Saccharomyces cerevisiae S288C: one gene and its partners. The gene in region 1 interacts genetically with each later gene. Each region holds a gene or a part of one and is shown in the gene's direction. Other genes may lie near its edges. The genes, in order: RHO4, CIT3, AMD1 and AIM39.

Region 1 (5,126 bases):
CTAGATAACTTAATTTTTCGGTTGGACAGTGATCAGAGTCCATAAAACTTGCCAACGTATTTTGTAACTTCTTTTCCAAATCGAGCATGTTTTTACTGAATTCACTTTCGGCTTGCTCCAATTTCAATCGAAAATTCACGGAAATATCATGGATCTGCTCAAATGGATGATACAATCTCTGTATTTCTTCGTGATAAGTAGAAGGGGATATACTCTTAATGGTTTCTGCCAATGAAAAAAATCGCTTGCGTGTGCTTAAAATTTCATCCAAAGTAGCCTTTACGGATGCACTTGTAAATGTTAGCTTTTGTATAAGTAGCTCCTGTGGTGCTCTTTTCCTAAGATCCTCTCTTATTAAAAGATTGACATCCTGGACAATATCATCCCATTCTTCTATCATGCCTGCTGATTTTTCATATAAACCCAAAAAAGAACCATACTCTAGCTGAAATAAATCTGAAAGATTACTTAGAATTGCATCCATGACTTCTTGTGAAATTTTGTCCATCAGCACAACAAATCTTTGAACTGGATAACCTGAATATCTGAACTTCTTCAAAGAAGATGCTAAAACAGGAAATAGTTCCTGCAAGTCCTCAAGATTGCTTGCCTGGCGAACCTCATCGATAGGGATTGACGATAGAAATTGGTTATATTTATCCGCTAGCTTAAATTTATCTGAAAGTGAACCTTCATTCAATAAATTTGTTAAATTATGAAATCTCTTTGCGTTTGTTAGAACGGATAGACACACCTGAAATTCTTGGCTTTGTGTTTGTTCAATTAACGACTTCAGTACTTCGTAGAAATTCGACCAAAACTCAACTTCGTCTAAAAAAGAACCATTTTTTATATCTCTGTCAATGGCTAATGTTTGTTTAAGAACCAAAAACCATTTGTTTGCAATGCTTTGTAAAATGTTCAAAAATCTCATACTTTCCAAATCATTACTAGGAAGGTAGTTTGCATAATCATGTGAAGTAGCCCCTTTTGATACAGCCAATTTGATAATGCTAGGGACCATCGCTAAAAGATCTGGCGTTTCAATTGAGGTATGTAACTGTTGAAATTGTTTAGAAATGTCGTCAAGTTTCCTCCTCGTTTTATCTATAGTTTCGACAGAATATGTCTTTGTATCTGATTTTATCAATTGGCCAAACACAGACGATACGCCATGTGTGATAATTGAGGCCAGGTTCCCCGCATTTACTGGACCAGGTAAGTATATGGCACTTATTTGTGTTGCAATCGGTTCTGCATCCACAATAACACTTCTAGATTTAATAATTAATAGAGTAGAATACTTTTTATTCGCCAAGTTGGCATCATATATAGCCTCTTCACCAATGTCTATTGTAACTATTGTTCTATCCAGCTCTTCAAAAAGGAAGACAAACAACGTGTCGAACTCTCTCCCATCCAATAATCCCAAAAAAAATTGAAACCGTTCAAGGTATTGACAATGTAGATAATCAATGAATGCTTGCTCATTCTCTTTGGGAGAATTCTTTATACCCGTTACAGTAGCTGCAACAAATTCTATCAGCTCATTAGCAAGTCTTGCCTCATTCTTGCACATTGCCTAAAAAACGTTTTGACGTACTTTCCAATTTAAGCTCTGAACGAGTATTATTGCCCTTCTATGTTCTATGCTTTCTGTTAATTTTTATATGTAATGTTTGTTTACCTTTCATTAGCTTATTTATTAGAATCCGTACAATGCGACCTTCCGCGCATCAATTCGGGATGATCTGATTAAGTAGTTATAGCCTTACGTTAAGACGACAAAAGACATGATAAGCATCCCTCAAAAGTTACAGCAAACTTAAGTCAAATAGGTCCAAAAATCTCCAATAGTAACGCTTTTTCATGAATACACTATTATTTAAGCGAAAAGGTGGCAATTGTGGGAACGAAAGTAACATAGTTTCGCAGGGATCGCCCTCAAGTAGCAATCTTCCTGAATCACCTGGCACTTTAGATGAAAAGAATCTTCCCAGATTGCCTACTCCATTCGCTAGAAGCCTTTCTACCATTCCTAGTTATGAGCAGATGAAACGTACAAACAAACTGCCAGATTATCACCTAAAGATTGTTGTTGTGGGAGATGGCGCTGTAGGGAAGACGTGCCTGCTGATATCTTATGTCCAAGGAACATTTCCGACTGATTATATTCCTACTATTTTCGAAAATTATGTCACAAACATAGAAGGACCCAACGGTCAAATTATAGAATTGGCATTATGGGACACTGCCGGCCAAGAAGAGTATAGTAGACTTAGACCGCTTTCATATACGAATGCAGATGTGCTGATGGTGTGCTATTCTGTTGGTAGTAAGACATCGCTTAAAAATGTGGAAGATCTCTGGTTCCCAGAGGTTAAGCATTTTTGTCCTTCCACTCCAATCATGCTAGTCGGCCTTAAATCAGATCTATATGAAGCTGATAACCTTTCAGATCTGGTGGAACCAAGTTCAGCAGAATCCTTGGCCAAGCGTCTGGGGGCATTTGCACATATTCAATGCTCAGCACGATTGAAAGAAAATATCGATGAAGTATTTGAAACTGCCATACACACGTTACTTTCCGATTCATTATATGCTCCCAGAGAGCCTACACATACAATCAAAAATCCCTTTAAAAGAAATACCACCAGATCAGATATCGATTCTTCTACTGGAGATACCAGCGTCTCTATTTCCGGAACGAAAAGATTAAGAAAAAACAAGTGTATTATAATGTAAGAATAATGATGAAGATTATTCTGTTGCCCATTCTGTACGCACTTACAACATTTGAAAAGTGGCAAGAAAAAATACACACATTTTACTATCTTCCGCTATCTTATTTATCAAGACGAAACAATTAGAACCTGATTTAATTTAACTTCCATTTTTCTGAATCTGGTGTGATATACCGCTCCAATATATTCGAATTTATCCCAATTTTATCATAATAATTCATTTTAATTCGATGTCATAAAGTACTAATTCGATATTAATCTAGCCTAATTACATTAAATACTTAATAAAAGCTTCTGTGACATAAAAGTACAAATCTGTCATTTTATTTTAGAGGAATAGTTTAGGACAAAGTCATTATGTACGAACAGTTTGAATTTTCTTTTTTTTTCTTCGAAAATTCAGACAATAAGGTTAAATATAAAGCTCATCTCATCTCATCGATAAAACGCTGGAGTATTATCACATGCATGCGTTGCTTTTGGACCGTACAGAAGTCTATATTTAAAGCTAGGTTTTTCGCTTGCAGAAACTTTGTCAAGAAGCATAATTATAAACTAATCAGCACCATGACTGGAAGTACTGAAATGGTACCACCAACAATGAAACATACCGTTGACAACAAAAGGCTTTCGTCTCCTTTGACAGATTCTGGTAACCGCCGGACTAAGAAGCCAAAGTTGAGAAAGTACAAGGCCAAAAAGGTTGAAACAACTTCTCCGATGGGTGTCCTAGAATTTGAAGTGAACGATTTGTTAAAATCTCAAAATTTGTCCAGGGAGCAGGTTCTGAACGATGTTACTTCAATTCTAAATGATAAGTCCTCAACAGATGGACCTATCGTCTTACAATATCACCGAGAGGTAAAAAATGTCAAGGTCTTAGAAATTACTTCCAATGGCAACGGGTTGGCTTTGATCGATAATCCTGTTGAAACAGAAAAGAAGCAAGTTGTTATCATACCGTTTGGCCTGCCCGGTGATGTAGTTAATATCAAAGTCTTTAAGACCCACCCTTACTATGTCGAGAGTGATTTATTAGACGTAGTGGAAAAATCTCCAATGAGAAGAGATGATTTAATTAGGGATAAATATTTCGGGAAATCTTCAGGAAGTCAATTAGAGTTCTTAACTTACGATGACCAACTAGAATTGAAAAGAAAAACAATTATGAATGCCTACAAGTTCTTCGCACCAAGGTTAGTTGCTGAAAAACTTTTACCCCCATTTGACACCACCGTAGCTTCCCCTTTACAATTTGGCTACAGGACCAAAATTACGCCTCATTTCGATATGCCAAAAAGAAAACAAAAGGAACTATCAGTAAGGCCTCCTTTAGGATTTGGTCAAAAGGGTAGACCTCAATGGAGAAAAGATACTTTGGATATCGGCGGACATGGTTCGATATTAGATATCGATGAATGTGTGCTTGCAACTGAAGTTCTCAACAAAGGATTGACTAATGAAAGAAGAAAGTTTGAGCAAGAGTTTAAAAACTACAAAAAAGGCGCGACTATTTTACTGAGAGAGAATACCACTATTTTAGACCCTTCCAAACCAACTTTAGAACAGTTAACCGAAGAAGCCTCTAGGGATGAAAATGGTGATATAAGTTATGTCGAAGTCGAAGACAAAAAGAACAATGTCAGGCTGGCTAAAACTTGCGTTACCAATCCTAGACAAATTGTCACTGAATATGTTGATGGATATACTTTTAATTTTAGTGCGGGTGAGTTTTTTCAAAATAATAACTCTATCCTGCCAATAGTGACCAAGTATGTCCGTGATAACTTGCAAGCTCCCGCTAAAGGTGATGATAATAAAACAAAGTTTCTAGTAGATGCTTATTGTGGATCAGGTCTTTTCAGTATATGCAGCTCCAAGGGCGTAGATAAAGTGATTGGTGTAGAAATTTCCGCTGACAGTGTCTCTTTTGCAGAAAAAAATGCAAAGGCAAATGGTGTTGAAAACTGTAGATTCATCGTTGGAAAGGCTGAGAAACTCTTTGAGTCTATTGATACTCCAAGTGAAAACACTTCCGTTATCTTGGATCCACCACGCAAGGGCTGTGACGAATTATTCCTAAAGCAATTAGCCGCATATAATCCAGCCAAGATTATTTACATATCGTGTAATGTCCATTCCCAGGCACGTGATGTCGAGTACTTCCTCAAAGAAACAGAAAACGGTTCCGCCCACCAGATTGAAAGCATAAGAGGATTTGATTTCTTTCCACAAACGCACCACGTTGAGAGTGTGTGTATAATGAAGAGAATCTAATTGCACATATAAAATATCTATCACTATGTATATCTTTCTAGAGTAAATGTCTTCCTGTACTTTTAAATCCGTACATTTTGAAAATTGAAAATGTATCTCAGATTC
Region 2 (5,447 bases), on another chromosome or scaffold:
AGGAATAGATCTTTCTGGAATTGTTTTCAGCAAAATTATGCTTAAGCTATAACTATAGTGAGAATCAAGAATATGTCTGCCAATGATTTCAAGCCTGAAACGTGGACTTCAAGCGCCAACGAAGCCTTAAGAGTTTCTATAGTTGGAGAAAACGCTGTTCAGTTTTCACCATTATTCACGTATCCAATTTACGGTGACTCCGAAAAGATCTACGGCTATAAGGATCTCATCATCCACCTAGCATTTGATTCAGTAACATTCAAGCCGTATGTTAACGTCAAGTATTCAGCAAAATTAGGAGACGACAATATTGTAGACGTGGAAAAAAAATTACTCTCATTTCTACCAAAGGATGATGTAATTGTTAGGGATGAAGCTAAATGGGTAGATTGCTTTGCAGAAGAACGAAAAACACATAATTTATCTGATGTTTTTGAAAAAGTATCAGAGTATTCGTTGAATGGGGAAGAATTTGTTGTATATAAATCGAGTTTGGTTGACGATTTTGCCAGGAGAATGCATCGTCGTGTTCAAATCTTTTCATTACTTTTTATCGAAGCCGCTAACTATATAGATGAGACTGACCCGAGTTGGCAAATCTATTGGTTGTTGAACAAGAAAACAAAAGAATTGATTGGTTTCGTCACTACTTACAAGTATTGGCACTACCTTGGAGCAAAATCTTTCGATGAGGATATAGATAAAAAATTCAGAGCCAAAATATCTCAATTTCTGATCTTTCCACCTTATCAAAATAAAGGCCACGGATCCTGTCTTTATGAGGCTATAATCCAATCTTGGCTAGAAGACAAAAGTATTACTGAAATTACTGTAGAGGATCCAAACGAAGCATTTGACGATCTTCGCGACAGGAATGATATTCAAAGACTGCGAAAACTTGGTTATGATGCTGTCTTTCAGAAGCACTCCGACCTTTCTGATGAGTTTTTGGAGTCAAGCCGAAAATCTTTAAAACTGGAAGAAAGACAGTTTAATCGTCTTGTGGAAATGCTTCTTCTTTTAAACAATTCTCCATCATTTGAATTAAAGGTAAAGAATAGGTTGTACATTAAAAATTATGATGCCCTAGATCAAACTGATCCAGAAAAGGCAAGAGAAGCTTTACAAAATTCATTTATTTTAGTCAAAGATGATTATAGGCGTATTATAGAGTCGATAAATAAATCTCAAGGTTAACTGTTTATTAAATATATAATAACATATTTATTTGTTTAACAAGCCTGAAATAAGAAATTCTTTTATAAATACATCATCGAGATGATCATCAAAGTGTCTCTATAGTTAATATAAGCTTATGCAAAGGTTGAAGCCGTTATGTTGTCGTAATTCTAAATTACAGGTTATATTAAAGAGATTATCTTGACTGATATAAAATTTCTTATCATGGTAGTGATCACAAATAGATCACATGATATATTTTTTATTTTTAATTTTTTTTAATTATAAAAATAATTTTTTTCTTTAAATTAAACAAAAATAAAAAATTGTTTTTTGTTGGTTAAGATTTCCGAAAATAGAAATATTATTCAGTTGAAAGACAAAAAAACATAAATATTTCTATGAGCAAACAATTTGAACAGAAAAATAAAATTGGGGAAGTGACACACCATGGTAGCGGTTCTAAAGCGAAATCGGCAAAGCGGCTAAATAGCAGTTTTGATGACTTACTCCACACTGAAAATGGATGACCTTAAATAGGAGATAAAGCTTTTTCATCCCTATGTATTTAAGATGACTGGCTTGTCAAGCATTCTAATCATAAAAAAAAGATCGTATTTGATCAAGAATTTATACATAGACGCCGCTAAATAATTGAATACAAAATGGTACAAAGGCTTCTACCGGGCGCACATATATGCAGAAGGTCCTTCAATTCGTCTGCAATTATAAAGTCTTCTGCATTGACTCTCAAGGAAGCATTAGAAAACGTGATACCTAAGAAAAGAGATGCTGTGAAGAAATTGAAGGCCTGTTATGGCAGCACGTTTGTCGGACCGATTACCATTTCATCAGTTCTAGGTGGGATGAGAGGTAATCAGTCAATGTTTTGGCAAGGAACATCATTAGATCCCGAACATGGCATTAAATTTCAAGGTTTAACGATTGAAGAATGTCAAAATAGATTACCTAATACAGGTATTGATGGCGATAATTTCCTGCCAGAATCAATGTTATGGCTGTTGATGACAGGTGGTGTGCCAACTTTCCAGCAAGCTGCTTCTTTCAGGAAAGAATTGGCTATTCGTGGAAGGAAATTGCCACATTATACAGAGAAAGTTTTGTCAAGTTTACCCAAAGATATGCACCCTATGACCCAACTTGCAATTGGTTTAGCATCAATGAACAAAGGATCCCTCTTTGCTACAAACTACCAAAAGGGCCTCATAGGAAAGATGGAATTTTGGAAAGATACTCTTGAAGATTCGCTAAATTTAATTGCTTCACTCCCGCTGCTGACTGGGAGAATTTATTCGAACATTACAAATGAGGGACACCCATTAGGTCAATATAGTGAGGAGGTGGATTGGTGTACAAACATATGTTCCCTGCTCGGCATGACAAATGGAACGAACTCTTCTAATACATGCAACCTTACTTCCCAGCAATCCCTGGACTTCATAAACTTGATGCGGTTATATACCGGTATACATGTAGACCATGAAGGTGGTAATGTTTCTGCTCACACCACCCACTTGGTTGGAAGTGCGTTGAGTGACCCGTATCTCAGCTATTCATCTGGAATAATGGGATTAGCGGGTCCTTTGCATGGGTTAGCAGCACAAGAAGTAGTAAGGTTTCTCATAGAGATGAACTCTAATATTTCCAGCATTGCACGAGAACAAGAAATCAAAGATTATCTTTGGAAAATTTTGAATTCAAACCGTGTGATCCCCGGTTATGGGCACGCAGTTTTGCGTAAACCGGATCCTCGATTTACAGCAATGCTTGAATTTGCGCAAAAGAGGCCTATTGAATTTGAGAACGACAAGAACGTTTTGTTGATGCAAAAATTGGCAGAAATAGCGCCTAAGGTTTTGTTGGAACACGGAAAGAGTAAGAATCCATTTCCCAATGTTGACTCTGCATCGGGGATTTTGTTTTATCATTATGGAATCAGGGAATTATTATTCTTTACCGTCATTTTTGGGTGTTCAAGGGCCATGGGACCCTTGACACAACTTGTTTGGGATCGCATTCTAGGTTTACCAATTGAAAGGCCCAAGAGTTTGAACTTGGAGGGTCTGGAAGCACTTACCAAAGCAAGCAATGTTAACAAGTTGTAACGCAGTTCCAATTTACAAGAATGCTTCGTTTGCTATTACAATATTGAAATATAAATAAAATTCCATACAGCATGTCTAATCATAGCTAATTTATACATATTCATCATGAAAACATATAGGGGAAAATATGGTCGGTTAACACACCTATCAAAAAATTATTCAGCAATTCCAATCTCGTTAGTAAAATATATTCTTATTTTTTTTTTTTTTCTCTGATTGTATTATTTCTGGAGTTTTGACTTATTTTTTTACCACATCGCGCTTTTCGTCCCCAATCTCTCTGATATATGATGCTGTCTATAGGTAGCCACTTCCCCGATGTCGGACCTCGGGCCGTTTACAAACTTTATTGAGATGACCTTATTTCTCCACATTCTAGTCATTCAACTTTTACCCTCATATGTTTACCTTCACTAATGTGAAAGCATGACCAAAGAAAGTGTATAAGGTATATAAATCTGCCATAATGTATGTATAACTTATTAGGACTTTCTCAAATAGTATTTTGGTATTTTCTACTGTTCTCTGATGATCGAGAGCAAACAGAATGTTTTTAGCCAAAAATCTAAAAAATAATAAAATCAAGGTATGCTTGCCTAAAAAGAAATTTGCTGCGCTGAGTACAGCGTCTATACAAACTAATGAAAGACCAAATCCAGATAAGGTTTTGAAGGACATCGCGAAATATGTCCATGAAACCCCATTAAAATCATCTTTGGCTCTAGATACAGCACGACTCTGTTTCCTTGATACTCTAGGCTGTGGCTTGGCGGCTTTGAAATTTAAGCAGGCTCAAAATATTATTAAACCAATTGTGCCAGGAACAATAGTTCCCAGTGGAACAAAAATATTGGGCACATCTTACGTTATGGATCCAGTGAAGGGAGCTTTTGCCATTGGTACTCTAATACGTTGGTTAGATTACAATGACTGCTGGTTAGCTGCCGAGTGGGGGCACCCATCAGATAACCTTGGGGGAATTTTAGCTGTCGCGGATCACTTGTCCAGATTAAACAAGGCTACCCACGGAAAGAATGGAAAACAGTTTCTTGTTAAAGACGTATTAGAGGCAATGATTAAAGCGCATGAAATCCAAGGTATTATAGCGCTCGAAAATTCTTTCAATAAAGTAGGTTTAGATCATGTGGTACTCGTGAAAGTAGCAACGGCTGGTGTTGTCTCGAAGATGCTGGGCCTGAGCCAGGAACAAACTATTGAAGCATTGTCACAAGCATTTGTAGACGGTCAATCACTGCGTACTTACCGTCATGCCCCAAATACTGGATCTAGAAAGTCGTGGGCGGCGGGAGATGCAGTTTCGAGGGCTGTAAACTTGGCTTATTTAGTCAAAAATGCTAATGTTGGCACGATACCTTCAGTATTAACAGCTAGAACCTGGGGATTTTATGACGTTTTATTTAAGGGTAAACCTTTTTCATTCCAACAAAGATCAAAATATGATTCCTACGTCATGGAAAACGTTCTGTTCAAGATATCATTTCCTGCCGAATTCCATGCGCAAACTGCTGTAGAAGCTGCTGTAAAAGCATATAGGATTCTTGCCAAACAAGGGAAAACTTTTAAAGATATTAAATCGATCAGAATTAGAACTCAAGAGGCGGCAATGAGGATTATAGATAAATCCGGTCCTCTGTATAATTATGCCGATAGGGATCATTGTATCCAGTACATGATCGCGGTTCCGCTGATTACTGGTAATCTCACAGCTACTGATTATTCGGATGAGGTCGCAAGAAATCCTGAGATCGATAACTTGAGATCGAAAATGTACTGTATCGAAGATACTCATCTCACTCAAAACTATCACGATCCTGATAAAAGGTCGATAGGAAACGCTCTTCTCATAGAGCTGAACGATGGGACGCAGTTGGATGAAATTTTTGTAGAGTACCCTGTTGGTCACAAATTTAGACGAGAGGAAGGAATACCATTACTAATGAATAAATTTCAAAGGCATCTGCGCGAACATTTTGTAGAGAGCCCTGATAAAGTCGACCTTATAATGAAGGTAAGTTCAAAAACAAACTTTTTGAATATGCAAATCGACAAATACATGGATTTGTTTACTGAGGGATGAATGGTTGGCTCTTTAAGAGCGAACGGCATGGTACCTACTTCAAT
Region 3 (6,699 bases), on another chromosome or scaffold:
TAGAGAAAATTAGGAAAAGATGTTAGTAAATAAATCAAAAACAAAAAAAAATTCAAAAAAAATTAAAACTGTTATCATATAATAACAGGTTTAATAATTTTTGTAAGATAATAAATTGTACTCACTTGCCTCCATAATATTTCTGGTTCTTCAGTTAAATCTTTGATAACTTGGATCCACAGGTCCTCAAATTCATCGTCGCGAATCCAAGGAGCTCTAGCCTCATTAAATATTTGATAGAGGGCATCTTCCGTCATACCACTCTCGATGTCGTCTTTTCCGTCACCGCATGAAATTTGTGCATTTTTGGCTCTCAGAAACTCTAAAGATTTTTCAACCACTTCGGAAACTAACTGCTGTTTTTTGTCGTCTTTAACACATTTGCCTTGTGCAGGAATAATTTCCAAAAAGTCAAGTCTAGATGGTGCTAACTTGTAATCTGGCTTACATTTAAGTTTCAAATAAGGATAACAAATACCATTGGGTGGACAAGGGATACATTTCGGTCTGTAGTCCTGCAACAAATTATCCAGTTTTTGAATAAACTCGAAGGAATTGCCACTAACTCGATGGGATGGTACTTCATGCCCACAGTAACCTATGAGCAGTCTTTGCTCTCTATACCAGAGGCCAAATAAGAGAGGAATAACAATGAATATGCAAAATAAAAATAGCGCCAGTAATGATTTGCTCAAAAATTTGAGTGCTCTTTTGAACTTATGCCTGTTCCCGACCTTCCCAGATCCTTGCTTAACATCAAATTCACTCCCATTTTCATGCTCTAATTGCTCATTTACTTCCTCTTGAAGTTCTTGCACTCTTGCTTCACACTTTTCGACGTCTTTCTCTGTGGGTAATTGGGGAGTCTCGATCCTTGTAGGCACTAAAACTTCATCTTCATCCGATACCAAGTTACTACTATCTGTATCTATCATTTCGACCACATTATTGCTGGTATTACCCATAGGCTGATGAGGACCTGGCGTGGTGATCTCTGGAAGCAAGGGTGCTTCCGACTCTGAGCCAGAGCCTTCGGACGAAAACAAAGACGGTGTTCTTTCACTCTGAGAAGGTTCTTGCTGTTCCACTTCTGGAACCAGTATTGTAGATGGTACCTCCTTTTGAGGCAATTTATCCGCAAATGAGGCAGAAACTTTTAACTTACTCAAGGGTGTGCTATGGCCTGTTCCATTGGCAGTTCCGAGCTCTTTTGGATTGTGTCGTATGTTCGGTACAAATGGATCATTTTCCGTACCGCTTGAAGTCAACGAATCGTTAAAATTATCCATGCTTACTGGCTTTCTATTTGTGTTCTTTATTGGTGTTTTGACGGAAAGTTTTCCTAAAATGGCAGAGCCATTTCCATGCTCTTGGTTCAAATCACTCGTCTTACGCTTTTTTGCCTTCTGGTAATCCTGTTCAATTTCTGAATCTGATGATAGGAGGTTCAAATGCTTATTATCGATTTTATTTTCCTTTGAATTAGATTCAGACCAGTCGTCAGAATCAGGGTCTTTCCTTTTCTTACGAGTATCGGAATTTTGCTGGAAATCATTGGTGTCTGATTTGTTGGAGCTTGATGTTATCACATCATCCTCTTCATCGTCCACTTCATCGGTATCCGTTCCACTAGGTACAATTAAAGGATCGTCTTTTTTATCATTGTCATCATCATCATCATCATCATCATCATCATCATTACTTACATCATCCAGTATTCTATTCTTCTTAAACTGTTTGGCCATGGGGGAAGCAGATTTCTCCCTGCGAGCTCGTCTACTTCTACGAGGGGAAGCTATAGATGGGGAAGATGAGGGACGGTCCATTTTCACAATACCTTCATCGCTGGGCCGAACGTTCAGATACATTTTCCGTAACTGCGGGATCTGCGGTTTAACCTTTTCATCGAACAGCCCCACCAGCGCATTTTTCCTAGCATTAGATGGGAAATCGACATTATTTTCTACCAATATCCTCCTCAAAGTCGCAACTTTCATTGAATTCGGATCAAAACCGTCCTCTAAATACTCCAAGTCACTATTCATCGCGGCACTAACTGAGTACTGCTACCGTTCTACTGTTTGTTGTTCTGGCCTCTACGTTCACTCCGTATGGTCTCAGTCTACTATTAATAATGACTGAGGACTATTTCTCTTCCATGTATTCCGCATAGTATATTGACAGCTATACAAGTAGATCGATGTCCAGATTAGCCACCACAAATTGAAACCAAAACAAAAACAAAGGGGGCTTCCTAAAACAGTAATTTTGAGGGCTCTTTAAAACCCTTGATTTCCGTTCAGGGTGATCAATATATATATCCTAGTTATTTTATAGATGCCCTAACTTTATTTTTAGGGCACGTGGGGGTCTTCTCTTTTCTTTTTTCATTCCTTTTTCATCTTTTTTTTGCGCCTGGCGATGATGAGAAAGGAGTTCTAGTAGCACAAGGTTTAAAGGATATTATCAAAAAATAGATAAATTTTAAAAAAAAAAAAAAGGCATCTCTTGACGACTTTTCTTCTCTCTCTCTACAGGCAGAATTAGCAGCGTTTCTCGTATACTAGTCAATTATCGGATATTAATAGTATTTTTATTATAGTCTCCCTGCTATAGCCAATTTTGATTCAGCAAAACTCGATTGAACTGCTAGTACGCCAGATTAATAAATTATATAACAAATAAAAAGGGGGCATTCTAAAAAAAATTATGGACAATCAGGCTACACAGAGGCTTAACGACCTTTCTCTAGAACCAGCTCCTTCACACGATGAACAAGATGGTTCAGGACTAGTCATTGACATAGATCAAAGAAAGATTGGTGATGAACAAGCTGGTGTCGTAGTGGATGATGAGACACCCCCCTTAGAGCAGCAAGATTCACACGAAAGTTTAGCTGCTGATTCTCGGAATGCTAATTTCTCGTATCACGAGAATCAGCAGTTGTTGGAAAATGGCACCAAACAGTTGGCCCTAGATGAGCATGATTCTCACTCTGCCATCTTGGAGCAACCATCGCATTCTACCAATTGTAGCTCTTCCAACATAGCAGCGATGAATAAGGGCCATGACTCGGCAGACCATGCATCTCAAAATTCCGGGGGTAAACCGAGGACCTTGTCTGCTAGTGCTCAGCATATCTTGCCAGAGACGCTCAAGTCATTTGCCGGCGCTCCGGTAGTGAATAAGCAGGTACGTACCTCTGCCTCCTATAAAATGGGAATGTTGGCTGATGATGCTTCACAGCAGTTTCTTGATGATCCCTCTTCCGAGTTGATTGACTTGTATTCCAAAGTGGCAGAGTGTAGAAATTTGAGAGCCAAATATCAGACCATATCTGTGCAAAACGATGATCAAAACCCAAAAAATAAGCCAGGCTGGGTAGTCTATCCACCACCACCTAAACCTTCATACAACTCAGACACTAAGACTGTTGTGCCAGTAACAAACAAGCCGGATGCGGAAGTTTTCGATTTTACGAAATGTGAAATTCCTGGTGAGGATCCAGATTGGGAATTTACCCTCAACGATGACGACTCGTACGTGGTACACAGATCAGGTAAGACGGATGAGTTAATTGCTCAAATCCCTACCCTTCGTGACTACTATCTGGATCTAGAAAAAATGATTTCCATCTCATCAGACGGTCCCGCTAAATCATTTGCTTATAGAAGGCTGCAATACCTAGAAGCACGCTGGAATCTTTACTATCTCTTGAACGAATATCAAGAAACTAGCGTTTCCAAAAGAAACCCACACAGGGATTTTTATAATGTTAGGAAAGTGGACACTCACGTTCACCATTCTGCTTGTATGAACCAAAAGCACTTATTACGTTTCATTAAACACAAATTGAGACATTCCAAAGATGAAAAGGTTATTTTCAGGGACGGGAAACTACTAACTTTAGACGAAGTATTCCGTTCTTTGCATTTGACTGGATATGATTTATCCATCGATACTTTAGATATGCATGCACATAAGGATACATTCCACAGATTCGATAAATTCAACTTAAAATATAACCCTATCGGTGAATCTCGTCTCAGAGAAATTTTTTTGAAGACAAACAACTACATCAAGGGTACCTACTTGGCTGACATTACCAAACAAGTCATATTCGATTTAGAGAATTCAAAATACCAAAACTGTGAGTATAGAATTTCTGTTTATGGCAGGTCTCTCGATGAATGGGATAAACTAGCTAGCTGGGTGATTGACAACAAAGTTATTTCCCATAATGTTCGTTGGTTAGTCCAAATTCCGAGGTTATATGATATTTACAAGAAAACTGGCATTGTTCAAAGCTTCCAGGACATCTGTAAGAATCTGTTTCAGCCACTATTTGAAGTGACCAAAAATCCTCAGTCTCATCCAAAATTGCATGTATTTTTACAGAGAGTAATTGGGTTTGATTCTGTCGATGATGAATCCAAGGTTGATCGCCGCTTTCATAGGAAATATCCCAAGCCATCACTCTGGGAGGCTCCTCAAAACCCTCCTTATTCCTATTACCTGTACTATTTGTATTCAAATGTCGCGTCTTTGAATCAATGGAGGGCTAAGAGAGGGTTTAACACTTTGGTTTTGAGACCACATTGTGGTGAAGCCGGTGACCCCGAGCATCTCGTTTCAGCATATCTATTGGCACATGGTATATCACATGGTATTTTATTGAGGAAAGTTCCATTTGTTCAATACTTATACTATTTAGATCAGGTTGGTATCGCAATGTCACCCCTTTCTAATAACGCATTATTTTTGACCTATGATAAAAACCCATTTCCGAGATACTTTAAAAGAGGTTTGAATGTCTCACTATCCACAGATGATCCTTTACAATTCTCATATACCAGAGAACCATTAATCGAAGAATACTCAGTTGCAGCACAAATTTATAAATTGTCTAATGTAGATATGTGTGAATTGGCAAGAAATTCCGTGTTGCAAAGTGGGTGGGAAGCACAAATCAAAAAACATTGGATAGGGAAAGATTTTGACAAGAGTGGTGTTGAAGGTAACGATGTGGTTAGAACAAATGTTCCTGATATTAGAATTAACTACAGATACGATACATTATCAACTGAACTGGAATTAGTTAATCATTTTGCCAATTTCAAGAGAACCATTGAAGAAAAGTGATGGTTATACGCGCACATGTATATAAGGAGAACTTTTGGCAGTTCGATACACTGACTTCACGGAGAACAAATAATACTAATCTGAAAAATAATCAAAGAATTTTTTTTATAATTTTATCGTTAGATATCTCTTATCTACACACCCCTCAATTGAATAGCGTCTACCAAAGCTCTTGAGAGACCATTTACGTCTTGGGGCTTGAAATCATCACTTAATTTATAGATCTAATAGGTAAAAACAAAATAAAAGGAAAACAAAGGTGAAGTTAGTACAATGTGTTTCTGGTGAGGCTGTTGAAGTTTTTACCTCGAATTTATTATTAAAACATACTTTTCTTATGAGCGCTTCGTCATAAAATCTCGATAAATTGTCATCATTAAACTCGATCTCTTGTCCTTTTACTATAGAAGTCATAATCGTCCTCAATTGCTCTTTGTCTACATCGTCAGTATTAGTATGGAACTTAAGGCATATTAACTGTGACGAATCGTCTTTGATTCCGAATTTGAGGAAAGCATCACTAATATTGGAAGTGGGTGAAAGACATAGTACGCACTCGGAATTCAAATTTCTTGTTCTCATCTTGTTATATTTCACTTCTATTAAGGTCTTGTAAATTGCAGAATACATCTGCTCCCCCGAACAGACTAACCGGGGGTCAATAAAGGCAAAGGATGTCGACAATTCACTCATTTTAGAGCGTATTTCTTTAGCATTTTTAACCTGTTCAAACAATGCTAGTGAAACCTTGATATCAGGAAATTGCGGTATGATGGATACTACCATGATGATTGTATAATGGGCAGCGACGACGTATATTTGGTTATATCGACAAATTTGTTGACCGATAAAAGATTGTTGATGTATATTTTGGTTTGCAATTGAAATTTTCGCGCAAAAGATTAAACATGAAATATTGAAATCAATGGTATTAATGATCAACGAATATTACAGATCATCAATTAAAGAAACAAGCATTGTCAGAATCTAAGCTGGTTATTTTTTGGGAAGGACAAATTATGGACGAAAACAAAATAATCGACCAGTTGTTCAGTAAGGAATACACACCGCAAGATGACTCCGAGCAAGCCAAAAATGGAGATGTGTCGTTATATGGGTTATTAGATGAAGTAGCGAACGGTAGGCGGTTGATGAACTGTTTGTTTCATTCACCTATGCAAATGGGGAATAAATTGAGTACCGACAAACTTGATGGGAAATGTCGGCAAATACAAAGAGATTGGATTGATGAGGAAAAAACCATAACTATGAATTCTGGCGCTTTACAGCTGGATGGGCCAGTTCTATTTTCCTGGAGTCATAATGTAGCACCTACTTCTCATCAAGAAACTATAAATACAACCTTCAAGCAGGGCTCTCCGAGCAGAGGAAGCAACAAGCCCAAAATTACTACTACCAGTCAGTTATTTGATAGAGCTTCTGCTGAGATTGATAAGTGTATAAAGCCCAATAGCAAAAGTTGGATGGTGGAAGAAAGATTTGAGAGAAATGAGGCACATACAGCTGATGGCAAGAAACCTTCTACGTGGGCTAATT
Region 4 (5,208 bases), on another chromosome or scaffold:
ATAAATATTGTAATAAGATAATAAGGGCCTGCACATAAAAATGGGAAGAATAAAAAGAATAGTAATAATAATAATGATGATGACGATGATGATGATGATGATGATGATGATGATGATGATTATGATTACAATGTATTTGATAATATACTAGTATCACGAATATTACTAAATGGATGACACTCTAGAGTTTCATCTGAATAATTACCAAATTATTCACCTATCTCTTAGTAGTATACCTATTTTTTCGTTTAATTAGTGTCCTTATTGGCTTTAAAGTAATTAATGCAGATGGTTCATGGCATACAAAAAATACTTTGTTTCGTTTGTTTTTTTTTTCTTTTTGTTATGATTTTATTAGCCTAATAATGTCCTAGAGTTAACAAATGTAAATTGTAAGAGGATACATTACATCTACAAAAATTAAAACCAGTTAACTCTCTATCCTCATCCTTTTAATTTTGTTGAATAAGAGGCAACCATAAAGGTTAAGAAATAGCATCAGATGTAATGGAAGCTGAAAAATGCAATGATTGATTATTCAATAATAGTGAATAACGGCGTGTAAATGAATAAGAAATGGTAATAATAATACTGATGCCTTTTTATGGATTCCTATATCCTTGTGGAAAACCTCTTGAATACTGGGTGAATAATTTGATAATTGTTGTCATTCCATTGTTGGTGAAGGCTATAATATTATGTATACAGATTATAATAGAAATTTTCCTCGAGGATATAGGAATCCTCAAAAAGGAATCTATATTTCTACATACTAATATTACGAATATTCCCAATTCCGTTTTATACATTTCATTATCCTATTACATTATTAGTCCTTGCATTTCGCTTCAATCAATCTAACTGTTTCCCAATCTTTATGTTATCTTCTTACACTGCATGTGATAATATACTAGTAACACGAATACTACTAAAAAGATGATATTTTAAAGTTTCATTCCAACACCTCTAACATGTTCTATATACCTAATATTAAACCTTTATTAATAATGGAATCTCAACAATTGTCTCAAAATTCTCCCATTTCTCACAATCTTGTGCATTGAGAACTGTGCATCATTAAGTTTCTAAAATTTAGATCTTTCATAAAATATTAGACTCCATGGCCAAGTTGGTTAAGGCGTGCGACTGTTAATCGCAAGATCGTGAGTTCAACCCTCACTGGGGTCGTTATTTTTGAATACCCAATACTTTTTTTTCGGGCCATTTCACACAATGGCGTTTTTTATCCTATGTCCACTACAATTTAGATGAGCTCTCTTCTAGCATACAACTGCGATGAGGAATTTGATAATATTCTATTTTAAGCATTAAGTTTTCAGAAAACGAACGATCGCGTTTTTTCTCAGACAGAAAGTTTTAATATATTGATAAGAATAATGGGCGACGAATTACACAACCGTTTACTTCACCAAAACGATGGCACCAAGGACGCCATACTTTATAAGATAATAGAATCGTTAGTTTGCTCCATCTGCCACGATTATATGTTTGTACCGATGATGACACCTTGTGGTCATAATTATTGCTATGGTTGTCTGAACACCTGGTTTGCCAGCAATACTCAAAAAGAATTGGCTTGTCCGCAGTGCAGATCTGATATTACCACCATTCCCGCATTGAATACAACGTTGCAACAGTATCTATCATTCATTTTAGAGAAATTAAGGGACCAGAATGATGAATCTTTTAAAAAACTTTTAACAACTAAAACCAAGGAGGAAAATGATTACAAGAATGACAAGGAAAAGGACACATTGTTTGACAAAGTATTTAAGAATAGCGCATTGGCAGTGGCCGACGACTCGGATGATGGTATCACACGTTGTAGTAATTGTCATTGGGAATTAGACCCAGACGAAGTAGAGGACGGAAATGTTTGTCCCCACTGCAATGCCAGAATACGGAATTACGCAGGTGGTCGCGACGAATTTGATGAAGAAGAATACAGTGAAGGAGAGTTGGATGAAATCCGGGAAAGCATGCGTAGGCGTAGAGAGAATCGATTTGCGTCTACCAATCCGTTTGCTAATAGAGATGATGTAAGTTCTGAAGACGATGATAGCAGTGAAGAGGAGCCCATGCGAGAACATATCCCACTAGGCCGTTGGGCCAGGTCACATAATCGTAGTATTGCTGTGGATGCTGTGGATGATGAAGACGACGAAGAAGAGGATGAGGAAGAAGAAGAGGAGATGGATTCCGATTTGAAAGATTTTATAGAGGATGATGAAGATGACGAAGATGAAGATGGAAGTAGGAGGAATTTGGTATTGTCTGCACTCAAGAACAGACATGTAATTATTACTGATGATGAGGAAGAGGAGCAACGGCGACATGCTACAGAAGAGGAAGATCGCGATAGTGACTTTTACGAGCATAATGATGATGGTTTTGTAAGTGGTGATAGCCTTGATGAGGATCAGAAGGAGGTTACACGGATACAATCGAGTTCTGATTCCGAAGATCGTTCACTTTCGTATTCCGGCTCCAGCGATGTCAAGGATAACAATGACGATAACACGGAAGAATTAGATGACCCACAACCGAAAAGGCAGAAACGCTTCCGTGTAGTTCTAGGAGACAGTGACGATGAATAATCTGAACATTTTAACTAGCGGGAACGGCATATGTACGGAACTTTTATGTATGTTTTTAAAAAATTTCCTTTCTATCCTTATTACATTAAGATTTTTAAGCGATAGTAGGATCGGAAATATAAGCACTCGTTTATGATATAAATAGGTCAAGAATTTCGTAAAGTAAAATCAATACATATGTGAATCTTTTTTTTTTTTTTTTTGGGACTGCTATTGGTATTTTTTTAGCGTCACGTTAATCAGCCCAATTATGTGGGGGTTATGCAAGAAGCATTTTCCGAGCAATAAAATTCAAGTGCAGGAGAGAAACAAAGCATTAAAACCAAAGAAGAGTGGCAGCGAACATAAGACAAAGCAACTGTTTCCTGTATTCAATTGCAAGAAGAAGGAAAAAGGGGTAATGATACGGTTTGCGATTCTACGTAATGCTAACACATCTCTACTGTCCGCGAGAAGTATATGCTTATTTACCCAGGCGCCTACCTATTGTCATGTAAGGTTGAATACCTTGAATAAAAGCATTACAACTAAAAGAAATTCATTGACAGAGTCGAAAAGGCATGTCCATGATGGCAAGCATTTTTTTACGACGCCACATCAACAGCAACAGACGAAGTTGGGGGAAATTGAAGAGGGACACAGTCCTAACATAAAAGGAGAGGACTTGAGAAGCATTGGTCAAGCAATAACACATCAGCGAAACAAGCGCCGAAAGCAAATATGGTCCGCCATATTTGGTGGTATATTCGGTGTGATATTAGGATACTCACTAATCTATAGAGTGATATATTTAAAGGAACAAAGTTTCTTACCATTGTTTCCATCATCCAAGATACGTAAACTGAGTACCAGAGATTTGAAAAAGGTTGACGTAAACCAAGTACAGAAGCTTTCTAAATTAAGGGTTTTAGAGATATTATCCGGTCATGACATGATCAAGGAACAATACGGAGTACCATTGCTTGATAAAGATGGCAATTCACCCACGTTAAATGAATTCAGCATGTGGTGCGAAGATCAAGATCCATGTGTAACTGGTATTGTAATGGAGCCAGACGATAAAAGGGATAGTTCGCACACTTGGTATAGAATACCCTTTGTTTGCAAATGGAGGATAACGCATCGGCCAATAAGTATACGGGGAACCATCGACGATTTACTGAACCGCATTGGTTTGGAAACAGCCGATTTATTTGAGATTATATCGCCGGAGAGGGTATACGGGTCGTTCAAGTACGAATACCCACTGCAGGGGGACTCACATGCATTACACCTTTGGTTTCATGGCGAAATCGAACTGGACGATGATTCTTTGATTGTATATAATGGAAAATACCACGTTGATGTTAAATTGCAAGAAATCGACCTCTTCAGACGTGAAAAGAACGGACAACTAATACAGTACGTTCTATACAAAAACGAAGCGGGCGACAAGTAAGAAAAATGTAAATATTTTTATCACAATTATGATTATTATCGTTATTAAACTACTTATTTTCGGTTACGTAGATGAAATAGTGTTATATAAGAATATTTGAGAAAGTAAAACTGATAAATAAATATAATGGAATGAAAAAATAGAGACGAACTGGAAGAAGAGAAAAAAAATTAAAGCACCAAATTTACTACTCTGGGGCCTATAGATGGAATATCAAAGGGGAAGATGAGAAAAGAAATTATACATTTCAGAAACGTCAATAGGGTATCATCATCGTGGCAGTAAGCGGCGTTTTTCCTAAATCAAAAAGGCCAAAGCACCACCAACAGCAGCACCGACGACTCCGGCGTTTAGTAGTTGACCATTTTGAGCGTGCAAAGCAGGAGCAGCGTTACTCGTGGTGTTGGATGCGTTTTGAGCATTTACGCTAGTAGCGAGGCCGAAGACAGAGATGGCAGAAATGAAAACTTGTGATACTTTCATGTTTAAATCGATATTAAATTAGCGTGCTTGCTTGGAGGGCTTTTCAGAATGAAAAAAAAAAGAATGAAGAAAGAATTAACCAAAGAATGGAGGTTATGTGTAAGAAATGGCATTTATATATACATTTATATAAAAATGTATAAACATACTTGCATTATTGATGTCCCATAAGGGGTGAGAAAAGACAAAAATGGAAACAGGGGAAAAGAAGAAGAGTAAAAAAAGGATTATTTTAGGAGAGAAAGGGGATTAGAAGAACATCGGGCATAAACCTTTGAGCATCATCCTTTATTGATGTTTGACACCTTGCGATTGATGAAAAATATTGATGATATTAAGGTATTTCTGATAGCCACTGCCCCGTCCCTTGAAGCGGCCTTCCGTCGAGGCCTTGGCAACCGTGTCTGGGTGTGTGATATATTACATCAGAGGAAATAAAAGCTTGAGCGGCTAAACTCCCTTAGCTCAGGGGTGGTCTGGCCAGGAATTTTCAGTGGCCATTTTTCCTGTTCCGGGTCCGGCCAATCTGTGCCGGTTTTCTCTAGAGGAAAAAAAAAAGCATGCGGGGTAATGATGTAGAAGATATACAAGCGGGTTAAACTACATTAGTTATGAGTGCTAGAAAGCAAGCGAAGGATAATAGAAGAGGGCTATTCTATGTAAGTATGA

Evidence for each region.
Region 2: mutations in RHO4 (region 1) and CIT3 together harm fitness more than expected from each alone (negative genetic interaction), as found in Saccharomyces cerevisiae (2 studies listed by BioGRID).
Region 3: mutations in RHO4 (region 1) and AMD1 together harm fitness more than expected from each alone (negative genetic interaction), as found in Saccharomyces cerevisiae (2 studies listed by BioGRID).
Region 4: mutations in RHO4 (region 1) and AIM39 together harm fitness more than expected from each alone (negative genetic interaction), as found in Saccharomyces cerevisiae (2 studies listed by BioGRID).

What each region holds. Positions count from the first base shown.
Region 1 is NC_001143.9:546,347-551,472, forward strand, and holds RHO4 (Rho family GTPase RHO4), read left to right. Parts: upstream 1-1,869; coding exon 1,870-2,745; downstream 2,746-5,126. Other genes in the region: DYN1 (dynein heavy chain), read right to left, coding at 1-1,579; TRM2 (tRNA (uracil(54)-C(5))-methyltransferase), read left to right, coding at 3,102-5,021. UniProt on the Saccharomyces cerevisiae protein: Plays an important role in cell growth. Required to keep the uninucleated state. May be involved in the organization of the cytoskeleton which affects microtubule functions.
Region 2 is NC_001148.4:554,533-559,979, forward strand, and holds CIT3 (citrate (Si)-synthase CIT3), read left to right. Parts: upstream 1-1,844; coding exon 1,845-3,305; downstream 3,306-5,447. Other genes in the region: histone acetyltransferase catalytic subunit HAT1, read left to right, coding at 73-1,197; PDH1 (putative 2-methylcitrate dehydratase), read left to right, coding at 3,853-5,403. UniProt on the Saccharomyces cerevisiae protein: Dual specificity mitochondrial citrate and methylcitrate synthase with similar catalytic efficiency with both acetyl-CoA and propionyl-CoA.
Region 3 is NC_001145.3:204,871-211,569, reverse strand, and holds AMD1 (AMP deaminase), read left to right. Parts: upstream 1-2,709; coding exon 2,710-5,142; downstream 5,143-6,699. Other genes in the region: SRC1 (Src1p), read right to left, coding at 126-2,045; CGI121 (Cgi121p), read right to left, coding at 5,277-5,366, 5,473-5,928; LFT1 (Lft1p), read left to right, coding at 6,162-6,699. UniProt on the Saccharomyces cerevisiae protein: AMP deaminase plays a critical role in energy metabolism.
Region 4 is NC_001147.6:227,217-232,424, forward strand, and holds AIM39 (Aim39p), read left to right. Parts: upstream 1-2,868; coding exon 2,869-4,056; downstream 4,057-5,208. Other genes in the region: ubiquitin-protein ligase PSH1, read left to right, coding at 1,398-2,618; DDR2 (Ddr2p), read right to left, coding at 4,354-4,539.